2 linked regions of the Lonchura striata genome follow. The protein of the gene in region 1 interacts with the protein of each later gene in a biochemical or structural test. Links are inferred from orthologs where the notes say so. Each region holds a gene or a part of one and is shown in the gene's direction. Other genes may lie near its edges. The genes, in order: SORBS1 and FLOT1.

What was found.
Region 2: the proteins of SORBS1 (region 1) and FLOT1 form a complex in vitro, tested with the Homo sapiens proteins (2 studies listed by BioGRID). The link is inferred for Lonchura striata from reciprocal best matches to the Homo sapiens genes SORBS1 and FLOT1.

The regions. Positions count from the first base shown.
Region 1 is NC_134609.1:12,968,113-12,976,950, forward strand, and holds the start of SORBS1 (sorbin and SH3 domain-containing protein 1), read left to right. Parts: upstream 1-5,012; 5' UTR 5,013-6,883; coding exon 6,884-7,591; intron 7,592-8,179; coding exon 8,180-8,551; intron 8,552-8,838. UniProt on the Homo sapiens protein: Plays a role in tyrosine phosphorylation of CBL by linking CBL to the insulin receptor. Required for insulin-stimulated glucose transport. Involved in formation of actin stress fibers and focal adhesions.
Region 2 is NC_134631.1:1,365,616-1,374,531, reverse strand, and holds the start of FLOT1 (flotillin-1), read left to right. Parts: upstream 1-4,052; 5' UTR 4,053-4,174; coding exon 4,175-4,217; intron 4,218-4,805; coding exon 4,806-4,881; intron 4,882-4,960; coding exon 4,961-5,051; intron 5,052-6,519; coding exon 6,520-6,663; intron 6,664-7,993; coding exon 7,994-8,113; intron 8,114-8,657; coding exon 8,658-8,753; intron 8,754-8,916. Other genes in the region: class I histocompatibility antigen, F10 alpha chain, read left to right, coding at 622-894, 1,158-1,430, 1,510-1,611, 1,709-1,744, 1,864-1,896, 2,309-2,322. UniProt on the Homo sapiens protein: May act as a scaffolding protein within caveolar membranes, functionally participating in formation of caveolae or caveolae-like vesicles.

The DNA.
Region 1 (8,838 bases):
TTCCCCAGGCACATGCCTTCCCACTAGAAGTTCAAGATTATGCTTGTAGTTTGCTGGACAGTCAGACTAGTGTAGCTGATACTGCTTGTCTGTCCTAATCTGTCACACATGTGCTTTGTTGGACTTGTACAGTGCTAGTGTCCTGTTTATTACTAGCTGCTAGATTTCTATACTGAGAGATTCAGATTCTTGTTTTCTGTAATTTGTGAAGCAATACATCATTCCAGACATTGATTTTCATCTCCCAAGGTGAGATAGTCTGGCAAGATTTTATTTTCAAATATTTTCAAAGCATTTTATTTTTTTTTTTTTTTATTCAGAGCATTTTTTTTTCCTGACCCTTATTCTTTTGATTTAATATACGGGTTTAATCTGTTGTATGGAAAAAAAAAAAAAGAATTCATTCCCAAATTTGATTCTCCTCCAATATGATGAAGATACTGTTTTGACGTGTCATACATGTTGAGCTCTGTTTCCATTTCTCTCCAGTGCCTGTGAAGCAAATGTAGGCATAGGGTTGTAGGAAGACAGCTACTCTGCACTCTCTGTGGATGTTTATATCAGGCCTAGTGACTCCCAACATTGTGTCCATGCTTTACTGTTACAGCAGTCTTAAAACTGGGGTCTTGGAGCTTACATCTTTGTCCTGTGGTTTGAAAGTGAGTCCATAGAGTCCTTGGGCTCTGTGTTGTGCCATGTGGATGGGAATGATAGCCAGAAATGCACTCTTGGGCAAAAGGAATCTTGACCCTTCCTGAATCGTGCAAAAATCAGTCAGAGAAGTCAACTTCTATTTCACCAGGGATGTGGGTGACCTTGAGTTGTGACCAGCTGTGGTATATTTAAGGATGAAACACCTTTTGATATGTCTGGGTGGATAGTCTTTCTCCTCACAGAGGCTGCCTCAATGCTGCCTCAGTTAGCTAAGGGCTGAACTATAGGAAAGTAAGCTCTGATTTCTTGCTTACTCCATCTTTTTTATAGTCTTAAGTATGGATCTAAAATGATGCTTTTTGTGAAATCCCTAAAGCATTGGAAACCCATGTAAGGGTTTCAACAGTGGAGATGCCAGCACAGAGGGCTTTCAGGAAGAGACAGGGGTTTGACATTCATTGAGTTTCTTCTCTTACTGCCATTGTCCATCTAACATATTGATGTTTCCCCATATTGTGACCACACTGGCTGTAGTTTGCATGGTTTGCAACATCAGCCAAGGTGTTACTATGGTCTCTAGGCACTGTACTACTGTGGGTTTGGTGGGGCATTGCCTTGCTGAAATCTGACAGGGAATACTGATCTGTAAAAATGTGGGCAGTTGCCTGGACAATAAACAACAGCTTTTGTCCCCTCTGTCCATTCTGAAAGCATCATTTTTTGTTATAATAGCAGTTCCTGGGGAAGAGCTGCATCTGTCCCCATGCAGAGACAGCATGATCCTCCACCCATAAAAATAAAAATTATTGTGTTGTCACTTGTGTAGTGCAGCATGTGCTCAGTACCTTTCACTCTCCCTGTGCAGTCACGGTAGGGCTGGTACCTCTGTGTAGGTAAGTGAGGTCTGATGGTAGCTGCAGGTCACTAATAGTGCATGAGAAGAGGAGGTGATGTGTTTGTGTATGGAAATAGCCTAGAGAAACAAGAAACTTTTCAGGCTTATTATTTCCAGAAGTATCTTAAAGGAAACAACTCTCCAGAAAGATTTTTAAGTAGGAGGAGAAAGAGAGGTAGTTTTGAAGTACTGGTTTGTTATTACTTAATAGGATGACAGGAGGAGAAAACCCATATCATGGACTGAAATACACAAAGGTAAGCCTGCACAGAAGCTGTGCTGAACTGTGCCTCAGCAAGGATGCTGGCATGATCTGTTATCTGATCATGATCACAGGTTGATCTGAATAGGCATGTGTGAAATTTCCTTCTTTATAGGATTTGGGTTCCTGTGTCAGAAGGTGAAACACTGCAATGAAGTGGGGAGATGGCAGGGAGGTGACTTGCAGTGCCTTGCCTTTTGATCATATTCAGCATTGTTACAAGATTTTATTTTCCAGTGGTCAAAAGTTTTTTTTTTTCCTCTTTCAGTCCTCCACAAAAGGCATTTTTAAGCTTTGGCACACAAAGTGTGTGCATTATAACACTGTCACATACCTATAAAAGAGCTGTAGGTGTAATGGAAGACTGTCCTTTCTAGCACAGTATCTCTGTACAAAGTAGAACAAATAAAGCAAATGGACCTGTGACCTTTGGTTCAAACACTCCTTTTTCTTCCCTCCTTTGCACCAACTCAGAACTTAACTGCTACATTCATCGATTACATGAATATAAAACTGCTTTGATTTCTCAATGCTATAAATACAGAGCTAATCTTCATCTGCACAAACATTACTAGATTGATTCACCTGGAGACAACCATGCTAACATTACTCTAGAGCTCTGATGGCTCCTGATAGCTTTGCATCATCCCTTTCTATGTGTTTCTTCTGTGCATGTGCATTTCCTGTAGAAATGGATCCCACAAAAGTCTGCAGTGGAAAAGGAGCTGTAACTCTCCGGGCAACTCCATCCTATGAAGGGAATCGGAATATCACTTCACCATGTCCTCAGGATGCTGAGCAACCTGAAAGTAAGTGGTGGAAGGTTAACTGGCATCTGTTATTCATAGTAACCTCAAGACAGGTTAGTCCAGGATCTTGGGCTTGCTTTATAATTTTGCTTTAAAGCCCAGAATTCCATAGCATAGTTGGAAACCTCTTGCAAGGACCACACCAGTAGAGACACTGACTCCTAGTGCAGGTTTCATGACCGCTCAGTCATTGACTAAAGTTTGTCAGCAGCACCAAAAACTTTGTTCTTTTCTTTCTTCCCCTACCGCCCCCACTGCCCCCAGGGCAGCCTGTGTAATCACTTTTTACCCCAGGCATGAGGTGGAACAGAAAGAAGCTGAGTGGTGCTACTGCCACTGCAGCATTCAGCTGGGTTGCCAGGGAAGCTGGCATAGAGTCCTCCCAGGCAGACAGCGTCGCCACAGAGCTCTGCTGTCTTTCAGTAGCAGACGTGTAATTACTTAATTGTAGAAGACAGGCAAAGCACAGCAAACCTGGCCAGTGTCGTGGGTCTGGCAAAGAGGTGAACTCCCAAAGGCAAGACGCCATTAAGGGGGAGGGTGTAAAATGTGCTCTTGAAAGCAAAGCATACATCATTTCTGATTGTATTGTTGGAGAAAGGGCAAATCCATTAATCCTAGCCCTAATGTGCCACTTTCTACTCTCATACTCCTGTTCTGCTCCACCCATGACCTACCCTCTTTTTATGCTTGCCTTTCTCTGTTTCTTCACTCCTACCCCCTGCTGTTGCCTCTCTCCTTTCTGTTGATGACTTCATAAATTCCCAACAGCCTGAATAGCAATGGGTCCATTACTATAGAAATCAGTTCATTAATACTTCTTTTGCTTATTCTCTCAATCGCTTTATGAAATGTACTTTGGAGCTGGAAGAGCTTCATGTATATAACTTAAAAAGCAAAATGGGTACAGGGTGGGAGGAGCCCAGTGGGAAGCAGGTAAATATGTGATGAGACCACTGTAGGTAGCTGCAGGGACTGGCCTATAAAGTGATGTTGTATCTTATTACACCCTTCATGCACTTAGTCTGCAAAATTTGATCTGTTTGTTGGTAATCCTTTATCTCAATCACATATAACAATACTGTTAAGGATAGCTATGTCTTCATAATCTGTATACAGGGTTCCTAAATTTCCAGTAATTTGTGGTGTCTGGATGTCAAGCTGCAGCTTTAGAAAGTAGCTAGCTGGGCAGCCTTTTTGCCTCTGAAGTAAGAATGTCAATGAACAATTGTTTCTTCATTGCTCTGAATGAATTGCCTTGTGTTTACAAAGGTCAGAAACAAGGAGGACATCATGTTTAGGGCTGGTCTCTATGGTAATTACGCAGCCCTGTCAGAAAGCATTTATGTGTGAAATGAAGTAGCTTGACTCTTGACTTCAATTGGTACATGTTTTCTGGAAATGTAATGGTTTATTTTTTCCCCTCTTTCTTTTCTTCTATGTCTATCCTCCACCCCCACCTCCTCTGTCCCTCCTTTCTGTGAAACACTTAGGTCTGGAGCCAGAAAACCCAGAAACAGGTATAAACATTGGCTGCTTCTGTTGTTACTTCTGTTGCTTTATTGGAATTATTTCTTGTTGCCTGGGGGGGAAAAAAAAGAAAGTGGCGGGGAAGAGAAGAAAAGAGTCCCCTCCTTTCACTTATCCTGCTACGGGAGGGAATCTGTGATCTGAATTTTCTTTCCCCTCGCAGATGATTGGAGGTCATCGTCTAACACTGATGCCAATGGGGATGCCCAGCCATCTTCTCTGGCTGCCAAGGGTTATAGGAGTGTGCGTCCAAACCTTTCTTCAGACAGCAAGCCACAGGTAAGCCTTTTTTCTGTGACCCTGAGGTGATCATCTGGGTGCAAGCACTGAATTCATGATCAGGAGTCCTGGGTTGAACTCCAAACTTGACTGCAGATGGGTAAGTTGCTGTGCCTCAGCTTTTTATGCCTTTAAAATGGGGACAACACCGATGTCAGCAAAGTGTTGTGGAGCTCATGTATCCAGGCACACCACAGTGTTTCCTCGGTGAATAAAGGAGGAGGACAACGCTATTTGCAAGAAAAAAGGTGAAGTAATAATCTGTAATTATTTTGTATTTTATGCTGGTTTATTTCCTAGAAGTTGCTGCAGGCTGAAATCAGAGTTGCACCCTACATTAAAAATAAAATATTGGGGAAATGCCTTTCAGTTTTAAAGCTGCAACTGATAGAAGCCAACAAGGGAAAGATTATTTCTATCTGAAGGTAAATTGTTGAAGCCAATCTGCTGAAAGAATGCAGACTGACATTGTATGCATGCAATGTCATCTTTGTTTTTTTTTGGTTTTTTTTTTTTTTTTTTTTGGTTGTGGTTTTTTTTTTTTTGGTGGTTTTTTTTTTTGTTGTTTATTTTTGGTGGGGTTTTTTTTGTTTGTTTTGGGGTTTTTTTTGGGTGCTCAGTCTGCACAGAAGCAGTCTAGAAGCTGGTAAGAAAACCCTACATTAGAATCTGGATTCTTGTGTGAAGCATAGTCACTTTAAAGCCCAGTCCCATATCAGTGTGACTGCTCCCATCATCAGGGTCCCTTTAATAATGCTACAGACCAGGTACCATAAGTGAAAGTGGAAGAAGGAACAGCTCAAATGAAGGAGCAGCACCCTAAAGAGAGACACATTTCTGCTCAATACTTAGAGCTGTCCTGTAGTCCTTTCCTGATCTTGTTGATGAACAGAGTGAGTACTGGCATACATAATACTTGTTACAGAAGTCTCAAGAACTACTGGTCAAACTGAGCTGAAATGGAAGAAATTCCAAAAGGAATGAACCTGTTCAGAGGCAGAAGCCCTTCAGAACAGCACTAAGCAATCCACTTCTTCACTCCCTTATGCTTCAGGGAAAGGGTGAGAGGGGCAGAGGGGCAGCATGAGGACAGCAGAATTTGGAACAGCAGCTGTAATTTTATTAAATTTTTCTACATCTATATCCATATAACAAGAATAGGTACTTGCCACAACTTGTCATATATGGATGATTTTTAAAGGACATACCTTTCCAGATTTGAATGTTGCAAGCTGTTAAGGCATCTTCATTCTCTGGTTTGGACATTTTTAGCAGTGGTATAGGTAGCCTTTGCCCATAAAGGTATGTCAACAGGGTGTTTGTAAAACCTACTTTCACAGTCTCCAAATGGTTAATTTGCAAAAATCCAAGGAGCTGTTGTTCACCAGGTGGGTATTCTTTTCTTTCCAGTAGATCTTTGTTTTCAGCTACTGGCAAAAAAAGCAATAACTAAATTGAAAACTCTGTACTGTTATTTTGTCTCAAAACAGTTTGGCTTTCATAAAAAATTCACTGTAATTGGAGATGCAGTAGGTAGGTGATTTGGAGTTAGCAAGCTATATGTTGCCAAATACCAAAACCAGTAAAGCTTTTCTTATTGTTTACTAGAAGCAGGATTTCTCTCTTGACAATGTTGATTCTGGAGGCAAATTCTGATGATCTCAGTTCCTCAAGAAACTTTTAATTTTTCTGGTCTGCCTGAAAGCATTTTCAGGATGGAAAAATCCTAAAGAGAATTAAAGAACTGGCCTTTATAATGAAGAAATGCTCACTTTTTTACTTAGCCAGCTGTAGTAGGCTACTGCACTCACTTGATGTCTGCTTTCATTAGCATTACTGAAACTTGGCAATATTCATTTTTCAGCAGTGCACTTAACATGCAGAGATGGCCTAGAACTCTGAATTTGGCTTTGCAGTTCAAATGTCCCCAGTGCTGGGAAGTGTTTAGTTATGCAAGCATGAGACTGAATTTAGTTAGCCATGATGTTATATCTTGACTGAGGCTTTCCCAGTGGCATGGTGAGTGTTGCTGTGCAGGCCTCTTGAAAAAACACAGTAGTGAGAATTATTGAGCACAGAGAGAGAAACACGTAGGCAGGGACTTGAGGGCTGGGTTAAGTTTGTGTGCTGCAGTGGGCTGTGCTAAGAAAGAATGTGTGGGACGATGGATATGAGTGAGTTCTGCACTGGCCTTCCAGATACTGTATTTGCTTTTTATTCTTGCTGTATTAAAACCTGCTTAACCCAAGTCTAATGATCAAATTCGTTCTGAAAATTTAATTTTTTTCCTTCCTTTTCCTTTCATTTGATGCTGCTTCCTTTCTCCTTCCTACCTTCTTGACTCTGCCTGATCAGGCCCTTGCTCCTCCCCGTCCTCCTCTTCCCAAAGAGGAAAGCTTTGCATGGCGTCCTCGCACTGACACTAAAGTGACCAACCTGTTGCCAGTGCCCATCATGGACTGCGTGTACCTGAATGCACCCAAGCCTTACACACAGCGTGCATCACCAAACACCAGTGCACGCTGTTATTTGTCATCACCTACCCCCTACGGGGCTGTCCCCAGTGGGAAGCAAGGCTTGCCAGCAGGGCGTTCTGCCTCTTCAGGCCCCAAAGATGAGATGCATGCTGGGCAGCCACTCTTGGAAAGTCACTCCTCATCGGGTGCATCATCCATACAACGCAACCCTGTCAGGGCAGATCCCAGTAGTAAGGCTGGAATGAATTCCAGTCATGAGACGAAGGCGGATAAAAAGGTCAGCAAACTATATGTAGCTTGTTTATCTAACAGCACTTGCTCAGGCGCATCTCAAAATTCCACTGGCACCACACATGACCCAGCAGCCAGCACCAGTTTGGGTGCTGAGCTCACTCAGGCACCGGCCACCAACATTGTTCCCTCTGTAACAGACACTGAAAAGTCTCTTCCTGCTGCTCCTCCTCCTCCTATTCCTCCCAGGCCGTACTTTTACATTGTTCTCAGCAAAGACGCAGTTAGTTATGGTGCTGGCCAGCCCTCCCGGACTCAGTCATCAGCTCCGCAAGCTGTGAGGGACAGAGTGCTAGAGCCCCAGAGCACAGCTGCCACAGAGGACAGGATGAGAAAAGAGCCTTACCTTACTCAGCAGCGACAGCCACCATACAAGGCAATGGGACGCAGCATGGTACATGTTTTCTCCATAACCTTGTTTTCTTGCAGCTGAGCGAACAGTTCTTTAATTCGTTACAATGTTCCCTTAATGCTTTATTCCCCTCCTACCTTAATTTCTCAGCACCTGTTGTGCTGCCCTGAGTCTTGTGGTCTTTTACTTGATAATATTTAACACCCCATATATGTCCCCTCAGTGTTGATCTGTGTGTTCGTGTATGTGTGTGTGGTGTTTGTAGGGAGTTGGGTTGGTCTGGTGAGGATCTTTCTATTTTAGGGACATGTAAAAGAAACAAGCTCTGTAATGTATAATGGCTAGAGCTTCTCAAGTCATGGTGGATGCTGAGCTGTTCTTTGTTTGATTTAGCCTCGCTACACAGAACTGGAGAAGAGGGGTGGTGAGGGGGAATAAATATTTTTGTGGAAAAACGTTGTGTTCATAGAGGCCAGGGCTATAAACCTGAAGAAGTATGTCTCCTGAAGGAAAGAAGATCTTCTGGGGCTTTGTATCATTTTGGGTACATTCCTTGCATGACACGATATGGCTGCATTAGACTAAAGTAACAATCTCCCCCAATGCATAACAACACCTTGTTTCCAACAGGATGCCACTGCCACCACCTCAGCTCAGCCTGGAGTTATAGTAGTCCCCCTCCTTCAGGTTAATCCAGACAGACAACAAGAAGGCAGCTCCAGCACTCCACCACCGCCTCTGGTTCCTTTCGGGCAAGGCTCCGTATTCCCTGAGATTGTTTCTCCTGGCTCACCCTTGACTTTTCCAACTCTAGACGATTTTATTCCCCCACATCTCCAGAGGGGATCCCACCATAACCAAGCACCCTCCACATCTGGCACATTACCCTCTGTTTACCCGAAACTGCCATTCTTCTCATCACCACCTTCACTTGTCCCTCCAGTCACGGGGGCTTTGCACAGGGGCTTGAAGCCTGAAATCACTGGAGTCATCTCACATACAGTAAGCTTGCCAAGTACCCTCCTCGCCCTTTTCCTAAATTTGTATTCCTGGATTAAAATTACTTTCTCCTTGCAATACTAAACTTGAGGGAGGAGTGATGACTCACTCCCTGCCAGCAGCATGACAACTGAAACCATGTTTGCGTCCCGTACTAGTGCATGCAGTTTGCCTGCCTTGTGCAGCTTTGAACTTTCTTTTGACTTCTTGCAGCATTTGACTGTCTCCTTTTGTGCCCATTCTGCTGGGTGATGTACACCTTAAGAGTCTTCACAGGATTTGCTCAGAAT
Region 2 (8,916 bases), on another chromosome or scaffold:
GTGGGGCTGGGATGTGGATCTCTGGGGCTGGGATGTGGATCCATGGGGCTAGAGATGGGATCTGTGGGTCTGGGATGGGATCCATGGGGTTGGGATGTGGATCATGGGGTTGGGATGTGGATCTGTGGGGCTGGGATGGATCCGTGGGGCTGGGATAGGATCTATGGGGCTGGGATGTGGATCCATGGGGCAAGAGATGGGATCTGTGGGGCTGGGATGGGATCCATAGGGTTGGGATGTGGATCTGTGGGGCTGGGATGGGATCCATGGGGTTGGGATGTGGATCTGTGGGGCTGGGATGGGATCCGTGTTGTTGGGATAGGATCTATGGGGCTGGGATGTGGATCCATGGGGCTAGAGATGGGATCTGTGGGGCTGGGATGGGATCCATGGTGTTGGGATGAGGATCTGTGGGGCTGGGATGGGATCCGTGGGGCTGGGATAGGATCTGTAGGGCTGGGATGGGATCCGTGGGGTTGGGATGTGGATCCATGGGGATCCAGGGGGCTGGAATGAGGCTCTGTGGGTCTCCATCAGACTCGGGGGCTCCATAGGGCTGGGATGGGGCTCTGTGTGGCCGGGACACAATTCCATGGGTCTCTGTGGGTACAATCCCCCCAGGTCTCCACACACGGCTGCATGTTTATGGCTGTGACCTCCTGTCTGACGGGACTGTCCATGGATCCTACAAGGATGGCTACGACGGGCGGGATTTCATCTCCTTTGACCTGGGATCCGGGGGATTCGTGGCGGCCGACAGCGCTGCCGAGATCACCAGGAGACGCTGGGAGCAGGAGGAGGAGGCTGAGAGGTGGACGAATTACCTGAAGCACGTCTGCCCGGAATGGCTCCGGAAATACGTTGGATACGGGCAGAAGGAGCTGGAGCGCAAAGGTGGGAGCAGAATTCCTGCGGGGATTTGGGAATGGAGAACTTGGGAACACGGTAATTCCTGTGGAATTCCAAGGGTAGATCTCACCCCCATCCCATTCCCATGGAAATCCATGGTCAGATTTCACTCTCATCCCATTCCACTGGGAATTCCATGGGTACAGCTCACCCTAGTCCCATTCTAATGGGAATTCCATGGGCAGAGCTCACCCCAATGCCATTCCCGTGGAATTCCGTGCATGAATTCCGTAATTATCCCATTCCAGAGCCCCCTGATGTCCACGTGTCCGGAAAAGAGGAACATGGGACGCTGATCCTGTCCTGCCACGCGTACGGATTCTACCCCAACACCATTGCAGTCAGCTGGATGAAGGAGAATACAACCTTGAATCAGGAGACGGAGTGGGGCGGGATCGTTCCCAACAGCGACGGCACCTTCCACACCTGGGCCAGGATTGAGGCGCTGCCGGAGGAGCGGGAGCTGTACCGGTGCAGGGTGGAGCATCCCGGAATGCTGGAGCCCGGGATCTTCGCTTGGGGTGAGGCTGGGAATGTGGGAATTGGGAATTTGGAATTCCCAAATGGGGATTCCCGTCCTCACTATCCCACGTTTCCCAGAGCCGAAGTCTGGCAGCATTCTCACCGTGGCGGTCGCTGTGTCCATCATCGCTGCCATCCTTGTTGTCCTCATTGCAGTCGGTGTCTGGAAGCTCCAATCCGGTAACACATGGGATGGGGGTTGGGAAGGGGCACGGATCCAGCCACACTGTTCTGGGAATCCTGTGCCACCGACGCTGATCCCACTTTGTTTCCACAGGGAAGAGGGACAGGAGTGGATACAACGTGGCAGCCGGTGAGTTCCAGTGGCGGATCCAGCTCTGGGTCCCCTCTGTGTGGATCCCAGGATGGATCCTGGGGTTAATCCCAGTGTGTGATCCATGCTGGAATCTCATGGATCTTCTCTTTCTGCAGGAAAGGATGTGGGAATTAATGGCTCAGCTGCAGGTACAGAGCAGGATCAGGGTGGGATTCGAGGGGGATCAGGGCAGGATGGATGGACTGGGATCAGGGAAGAATTCTGGATCAGAGCAGGGGTCCAGAGTGGGATCAGGGGGAATTGTAGAGTGGAATTGGGGCTGGGTTCTGGAGTGGGATAATTTGTGATGGATGGAGCAGGATTGGGGCAGGAATGATGGAGTGGGATCAGGGAGAGATTCCAGTGCAGGATTGGGTGGGGTGGATGGAGCAGGATCAGGGCAGGATGGGATGGGATGGGATGGGATGCATGGAGCAGGATTGAGGTGGGATCAGGTGGGATTCTGGAGCAGGTCCCGCTCCCCATGGGCTCCAGCCACATCTGTCCTGTGGAATGGGGACAGGGACAGGGTGACACTGTGATCCTCTCTCATCCTGACAGGAATCACCGCCTGAGCGATCCATGGAGCTGCATCCAGCCTCTTCCCTCTTCCCAGGAAAGCTGAGAGTTGCCAGCAGAGCTCATCCCGCTGCTCCCACCCACCCCACAACTCTTGCTAACTGATCAATTTGCTGTTTTCTATTTCGCAGTCTTTTAGAGGGAAGAACCACAAATATTCCCAGTGGTTCAGTTCTGGTAGAAATTATCCCGCTTTGGGCAATAAATCCAGTTTGGGGCAATAAATCCTGTTTGGGGCAATAAATCCTGCTTGGGGCAATAAATCCTGTTTGGGGCAATAAATCCTGCTTGGGACAATAAATCCATGTTCCCTCCTCTCGTGTCCAGCTTTTCCTCTCTGGGACGCAGGAATAGGATTGGGAGGAATGGGAACAGGGATGGGGGCATCAGGAGCAGGATGGGGACACCAGGAATGGGAATGGGGACACCAGGAGTGGGTTAGGGACACCAGGAGTGGGAATGGGGACACCAGGAGTGGGAATGGGGACATCATGACTGGGATGGGGACACCAGGAGTGGGAATGGGGACACCAGGAGTGGGAATGGGGACATCATGACTGGGATGGGGACACCAGGAGTGGGATGGCGACACCAGGAGTGGGAATGGGGACACCAGGACTGGGATGGGGACACCAGGACTGGGATAGGGACACCAGGAGTGGGATAGGGACACCAGGAGCGGGTTAGTGACACCAGGAGCGGGATGGGGACACCAGGAGTGGGAATGGGGACATCATGACTGGGATGGGGACTTGCCAGCTATGCCTGAGTCCTTCTCCTGGCATTCATTTCCTGCTCCATGCCCAATGTCTGAGGTGTCCCCAGGAGGGTTTGGCCATGTTGGGTTCTTGGAGGGACAGTGGGATGGGGGGAGGGGTCAGACCAGGCCTCGCTGTCCCCAGTGGTCCTTGAGTGTCCCAAAATCTGGGCTCGGGATCTCAGAGAGGTTCCCTGGCCATGACCACGGCCATGACACGAGCACGAGATGGCTGTGAGAGTGACCATGAGCGACACAACCCTGAGATGACCATGGATGGCCATGGCCATGACACAACCACAACGCTGACCAAGATGATTTGGACCAAGAGATGACCATGGGTTGGCCATGGCACAACCATGGCCTTGAGGTGGCCCTGATGTGATGGTGGCCATGAGGTGACAATGAAGCGACAATGACATGAGAATGAGATGACCATAAGATGATCGGGACAATGAGACGACCACAGGATGAACATGACACCACCATGGCCATGAAATGATGAAGGCCTTGAGATGACCATGACTGTGGCCATGACAGGATCTTGACCAAGAGGTGACCGTGAGATGACCACAGCACACTGTGGCTATGTGGTGATCAAGACCATGAGATGACCATGACACCTCCATGGCTGTGAGATGACCGTAATGCGGTTATGGCCATGGGGTGACCATGAGCTGACCATGAACTGACCAGGAGCTGACCAGGAGCCGGCCATGGTCTGGAGCTCCCCGGACCCCGTCACTGCCCTCACCTCAGGTTCATCCCGAACTGAAATTGTTCATTTCCATGGGTAATACGGCAATCTGAGCAGGGCGCAGCCAATGGAGCGCCGGGGAATCAGTGACGTCACAAGTTGCCAGGCAGAACAGATCTCTCCTTCCCGCCGTTGGCACGGCAGCCAATGGGAAACCGCGCGTTCGGTGACGTCACCGCGCTAACGCGGAAGTAGCGAGCGCGGGGGCTGCCGGGACAGGGGCGGTGGACGTAGGTCGTGATCGATCCCGATCGATCCCATCGCTCCCAGCGATCACGGTCGGCAGCGATTGATCCCCATCGGTCCCATCGCCCCCCGGCTCTCCCCCGCCGCGATGTTCTTCACCTGCGGCCCCAACGAGGCCATGGTGGTGTCGGGTGAGTTCGGGGGGCCCGGGGGCTCCTGGGGTCCCCCAAAACTCCCGGGAACGCCCAGAATCCTCCCTAAACCTCCAGGGAACCCCCCCAAAACTCCCAGGAACCCCCCGAATTTCCCCCCAAACACTCCTGGGGACCCCCAGCATCCTCCCCCTCAAAATCTCCTGGGAACCCCCAAATCCCCCAAAATTTCCCAGGAACTCCCAGAAACCCCAAAAACTCCCGGAAAACCCCAAAATCCCCTCGAAGCCCTCCAGGGAACCCCTGGCATCCCTCCCCCAAAATTCCTGGGAACTCCCCCGGGACCCCCAAACCCACGCGGGGACTCCTTGGACCCCTCCCAACCCCCCCAACCCCTCCAGGGACCCCCAAACCCCCACCCCGAGGGTCTCCCCCAATCCATTCCCCCACCCCAGGCCTCCTGGGGTCCCTCCCCCAAATTTTCCTCCCAAATTCCCCTCCCAAAAATTCCTGGAGGTCTCCCCCAGACCCCTCCCCGTGATTCTTGGGGATGTCCCCGTGTCCTCCCCGGGGTTTTGGGGTCCCCCCGGGGTTTTGGGGTCCCCCCCAGCTCTCGGTGCCCCCCAGGTTTCTGCCGCAGCCCCCCGGTGATGGTGGCCGGGGGCCGGGTGTTGGTGATCCCCTGCCTGCAGCAGATCCAGCGGTGAGCAGGGGCTGGTGGGGTTTTCTGGGGTTCAGGGGGGATCCCCCGAGATTTGGGGTGACCCCCCCGGCCCCCCCAGGATCTCCCTGAACACGCTGACGCTGCCCGTGCGCAGTGAGAAGGTTTACACCCGCCACGGGGTGCCAATCTCCGTCACCGGCATCGCCCAGGTAACCCCAGAATGCTCCAAAAGCCACCTCAAAGTACCCCCAAAAATACCCCAAAAACATCCCAGAAATCGTCCCAAAAATCCTCTCCTGGATCTCCAAAATCCCCTATCGGAACTGCCAAAAATCCTCCAAAAATCCCCTCCTGGACTACCAAAAATACCCTAAAAATCCCCACCTTGGCTTCCTAAAGTCCCCACTTTGGAATCCCCAAAAATCCCTTCCTGGACACCCTAAAAAATCGCCCATCAAAACTCCAAAAATCTCCTTCTGGACCCACAAAAATCCCCCAAAAATACATTCAGGATGCCCCAAAATCCCCACCGGGATCTCCAGAATGTCCCTCAGAAACCCCAGTCCTCCCTGGTCCCCAACAGCCACTGGGACTCTGAACACCTCATTCAGAGCCCCCAAAAATCCACTCAGAACCCCAGAGTCACTTTGGGAACCCCAAGAATTCCTCTCAGGACCCCCAAAATTCCCTAGGAACTCCCATAATCCTCCCCCTGAACCCCAAATATCCCACACAGGTATCCCGAAAACCCCCTCGGGACCCTAAAACTCACACTCTGAGCACCTGAAATCTCCTTGGAGCCTTCCAGAAATGCTCCAGGACCCCCCAAATTCGCCCTGGCACCCCCAGATTTCCCCGGGAACCCCCAAATCCCCCCCGGGGCTCCCCTGCCCCAACCAACCTGGGCGGCGTTGCCCTTTTAATGGAGGTTGTGGTGGGGCCCACCTAAGGGTGTTCTTAAAGCGGCAATCGTGGTGCAAAACAAAGGCGGGAAGGGGAGGAGCCCTTTAAAGGGGGTTTGGAGTGGTGGGGCCCACCGAAAACATTTAAAGGGGTAAAAACACTCCTAAAAAGGGCATTTGGGGGTGGGGAATCCCTTGAAAGGAGCTCGAAGTTTGGGAGATCCCCAAACCCTGGGATGGGAGGGGGAATTCTCCTTAAAAAGGGGATTGGAGTGGTGGAACCCAAAAAATCTTTGAGAAGGGAAAAACTCTTAAAAAACCCTTAAAAAACCTATTAAAAACCTTACAAACTTTTTAAACACCCTTTAAAACACTTTAAAAAACCTTAAAAAACTAAAAGTTTGTGATGGGACAACCTCCCTAAATCCTTCTTAAAGGGGTCAAGGTCCAATCCTTGATCAGGCTTGGGGTGGTGGGGACCCCAAAAACCTATGGGGGGGGTCTTGACCTCCCTTATAAAGGGACTTGTGTTGGTGGGGACTCCTTTAAGAGGGGTAAGACACCCCCAAAAATGGGCTGGGGTTGGTGGGGACCCCCAAGCCCCCTCCAAGAGGATGAGACCCCTTAAAATGGTCACGCCCTGGTGGTCCCCACCGTCAAGCAACCAGCCTCTTAAAAGGGCAATGCCATACCTACACCTTAAAAGGGCCGTGGCAATTTTGGGGGATACCAGGGGCGGCTGGGGGATCCCCAGGTGATCCCAGTCCCCCCTCAGGTGAAGATCCAGGGGCAGAACAAGGAGATGCTCGCAGCTGCCTGTCAGATGTTCCTGGGAAAATCGGAGAGCGAGATCGGCCAGATCGCCCTGGAGACGCTGGAGGGCCACCAGCGTGCCATCATGGCCCACATGACTGTGGAGGTGGGGCTGGGGGGAGCCATGCCCATTTTGGAGAAGCCACGCCCCTTCCAGAACAGCCACACCCACTTGGGAGCCAACCAAACACTCCCCACTTGGGATGAGATGTGTCCCTTTTAAGAAGGCCCAGATCTCAGGAGCCACGCCCCTGAGGTGGCCGTGCCCACCTGGATGGACACACCCCCTCAGGGACAGGTCACCCGTTCCCTTTGGGGTGGGATGTGGCCTTTTAAGAGACCTCTCCCCCATTTGGCCCATAAGCTCCACCCCTTGAAAGGCCCCACCCCTGGAGGAGGCCACACCCACTGGTGAAGCCACACCCCAAAGATGCCACTCTTGTTAAAGCCCCACCCACCTGCTCACAAATCTCCTTCCCTGGCCCCACCCCCTTTAAAGCCACACCCACACCTGCCCCATCCCTGTCATGTCCCGCCTGCCATCTTGGCTCTGTCCCAGTATAAACCCCACTCCATCTCACAGCCACACCCACCAGCCCCCACCCCATGACTCAAGCCACACTCCCCAGGCCAACCCACACCCCTGCCTTAATCCTGACCCCCCCCTCAGTTTGGGCCATGCCCACCTGGCTCCACCCAGTACAAACCACACCCATGGCTCCACCCCTTGCACAAGCCACACCCAACTCGCACCACCTCCTTGCTCCAGCTATGCCCGTTTTGGGTCAAGCCACACCCGTTAAACTGAGCCATTCCCCTCACTCCACCCTGGGGTCAAGCCACGCCCCTTTGGCTCATTCCAGGCCCCAAAGACTCAAGCCACATCCCCAATCCCAAGCCATGCCCACCTGGCTCCACCCCTTGGTTCAAGCCATGCCCATTTTGTAGCTAGCCATGCCCACTGGGTCAAACCACGCCCCCCTATCCCACACCTTTGTACAAGCCACACCCCCAAACAAAGCCACAGTGATCTGGCTCCACCCATTGTCCAAAGCCACGCCCACTTGGCTCAAGCCACACCCCCAGGAAAAAGCCCCGCCCACCTGGCACCTTTAGATAAGCCACGCCCACCAGCCCCGTGCCGTTTCTCTGCTAAGCCCACCTTATTTTGTCCCTGCCCCTTTGAGCCCCACCCCACTAAACCCCACCCAGTTTGAGCCTCAAGCTGTTTAGCCCTGCCCCACTGAGCCCCACCCTGCTAAACCCCACCCCTCTGGGCTGCACCCTGCTAATCCTCGCCCAACTTGAGCCCCACCTTACTGAGCTGCTCTCCCTTGAGCCCTGCCCAGCTTAAACCCCACTCTTGGGCCCTGCCCAGCCAGGCCCTGCCCCCATCTGAGCCCCGCCTCACTAAGCCCCGCCCCGGCCCCGCCCAGGAGATCTACAAGGACCGGCAGAAGTTCTCGGATCAGGTTTTCCGCGTGGCCTCCTCCGACCTGGTGAACATGGGCATCTCCGTGGTCAGCTACACCCTCAAGGATGTGCACGACGAGCAGGTGACACCTGGCATGCTTGGGGACAGCTGGGGACACCTGGGCATGGCTGGGGACACCTGAGCTATTGCTGGGGCACCTGGGCACAGCTGGGGACAGCCAGGATACACCTTAGATGCAGCTGGGGACAGCTGGGGAGAGCTGGGCACACCTGGGGGGCAGCTGGAGATAGCTGAGCACAGCTGGGGCACCACCAAGACACACTCAGGACACACCTGGGACACACTTGAAGACGCCCAGGGACAAGATGGCAACATTGGGACACACCTGGGCACAACTTGGGGCACCTAAGACACTCCTGCGATTTGTCTGGGGGGGATGGGGTGACACAGGTGTGACAGAGGTGTGACACAGGTGTGACAAGGAGGTGACACAGGTGTCTCTGTGCAGGATTATCTGTGCTCCCTCCCTCAGGAAGGGCCATATGGCGCAGGTGCGGGGGTGACAGAGTGACACAGGTGTGACATGGAGGTGGTGTGGGTGTGACAGAGGGGTGACACAGGTGACAGGGAGGTGCCACAGGTGTGACAGGGGTGTCCCCGTGCAGGATTACCTGCGCTCCCTTGGGAAGGGCCGCACGGCGCAGGTGCAGCGCGACGCCCGCGTGGGAGAGGCCGAGGCCAAACGCGATGCCGGGATCCGCGTGAGTGACACTGGGGACATCTAGGGACACACCTGGGAACACTGGGGATATTGGGAACATCTGGGAACACCTGGGGGAAGCTGGGTCACACCCCCAATATTCCCAGTACTCCCAGTACTTTCCAGTGCTCTCCCTGTGGCCCCAGTTCATCCCAGTGCTCCCA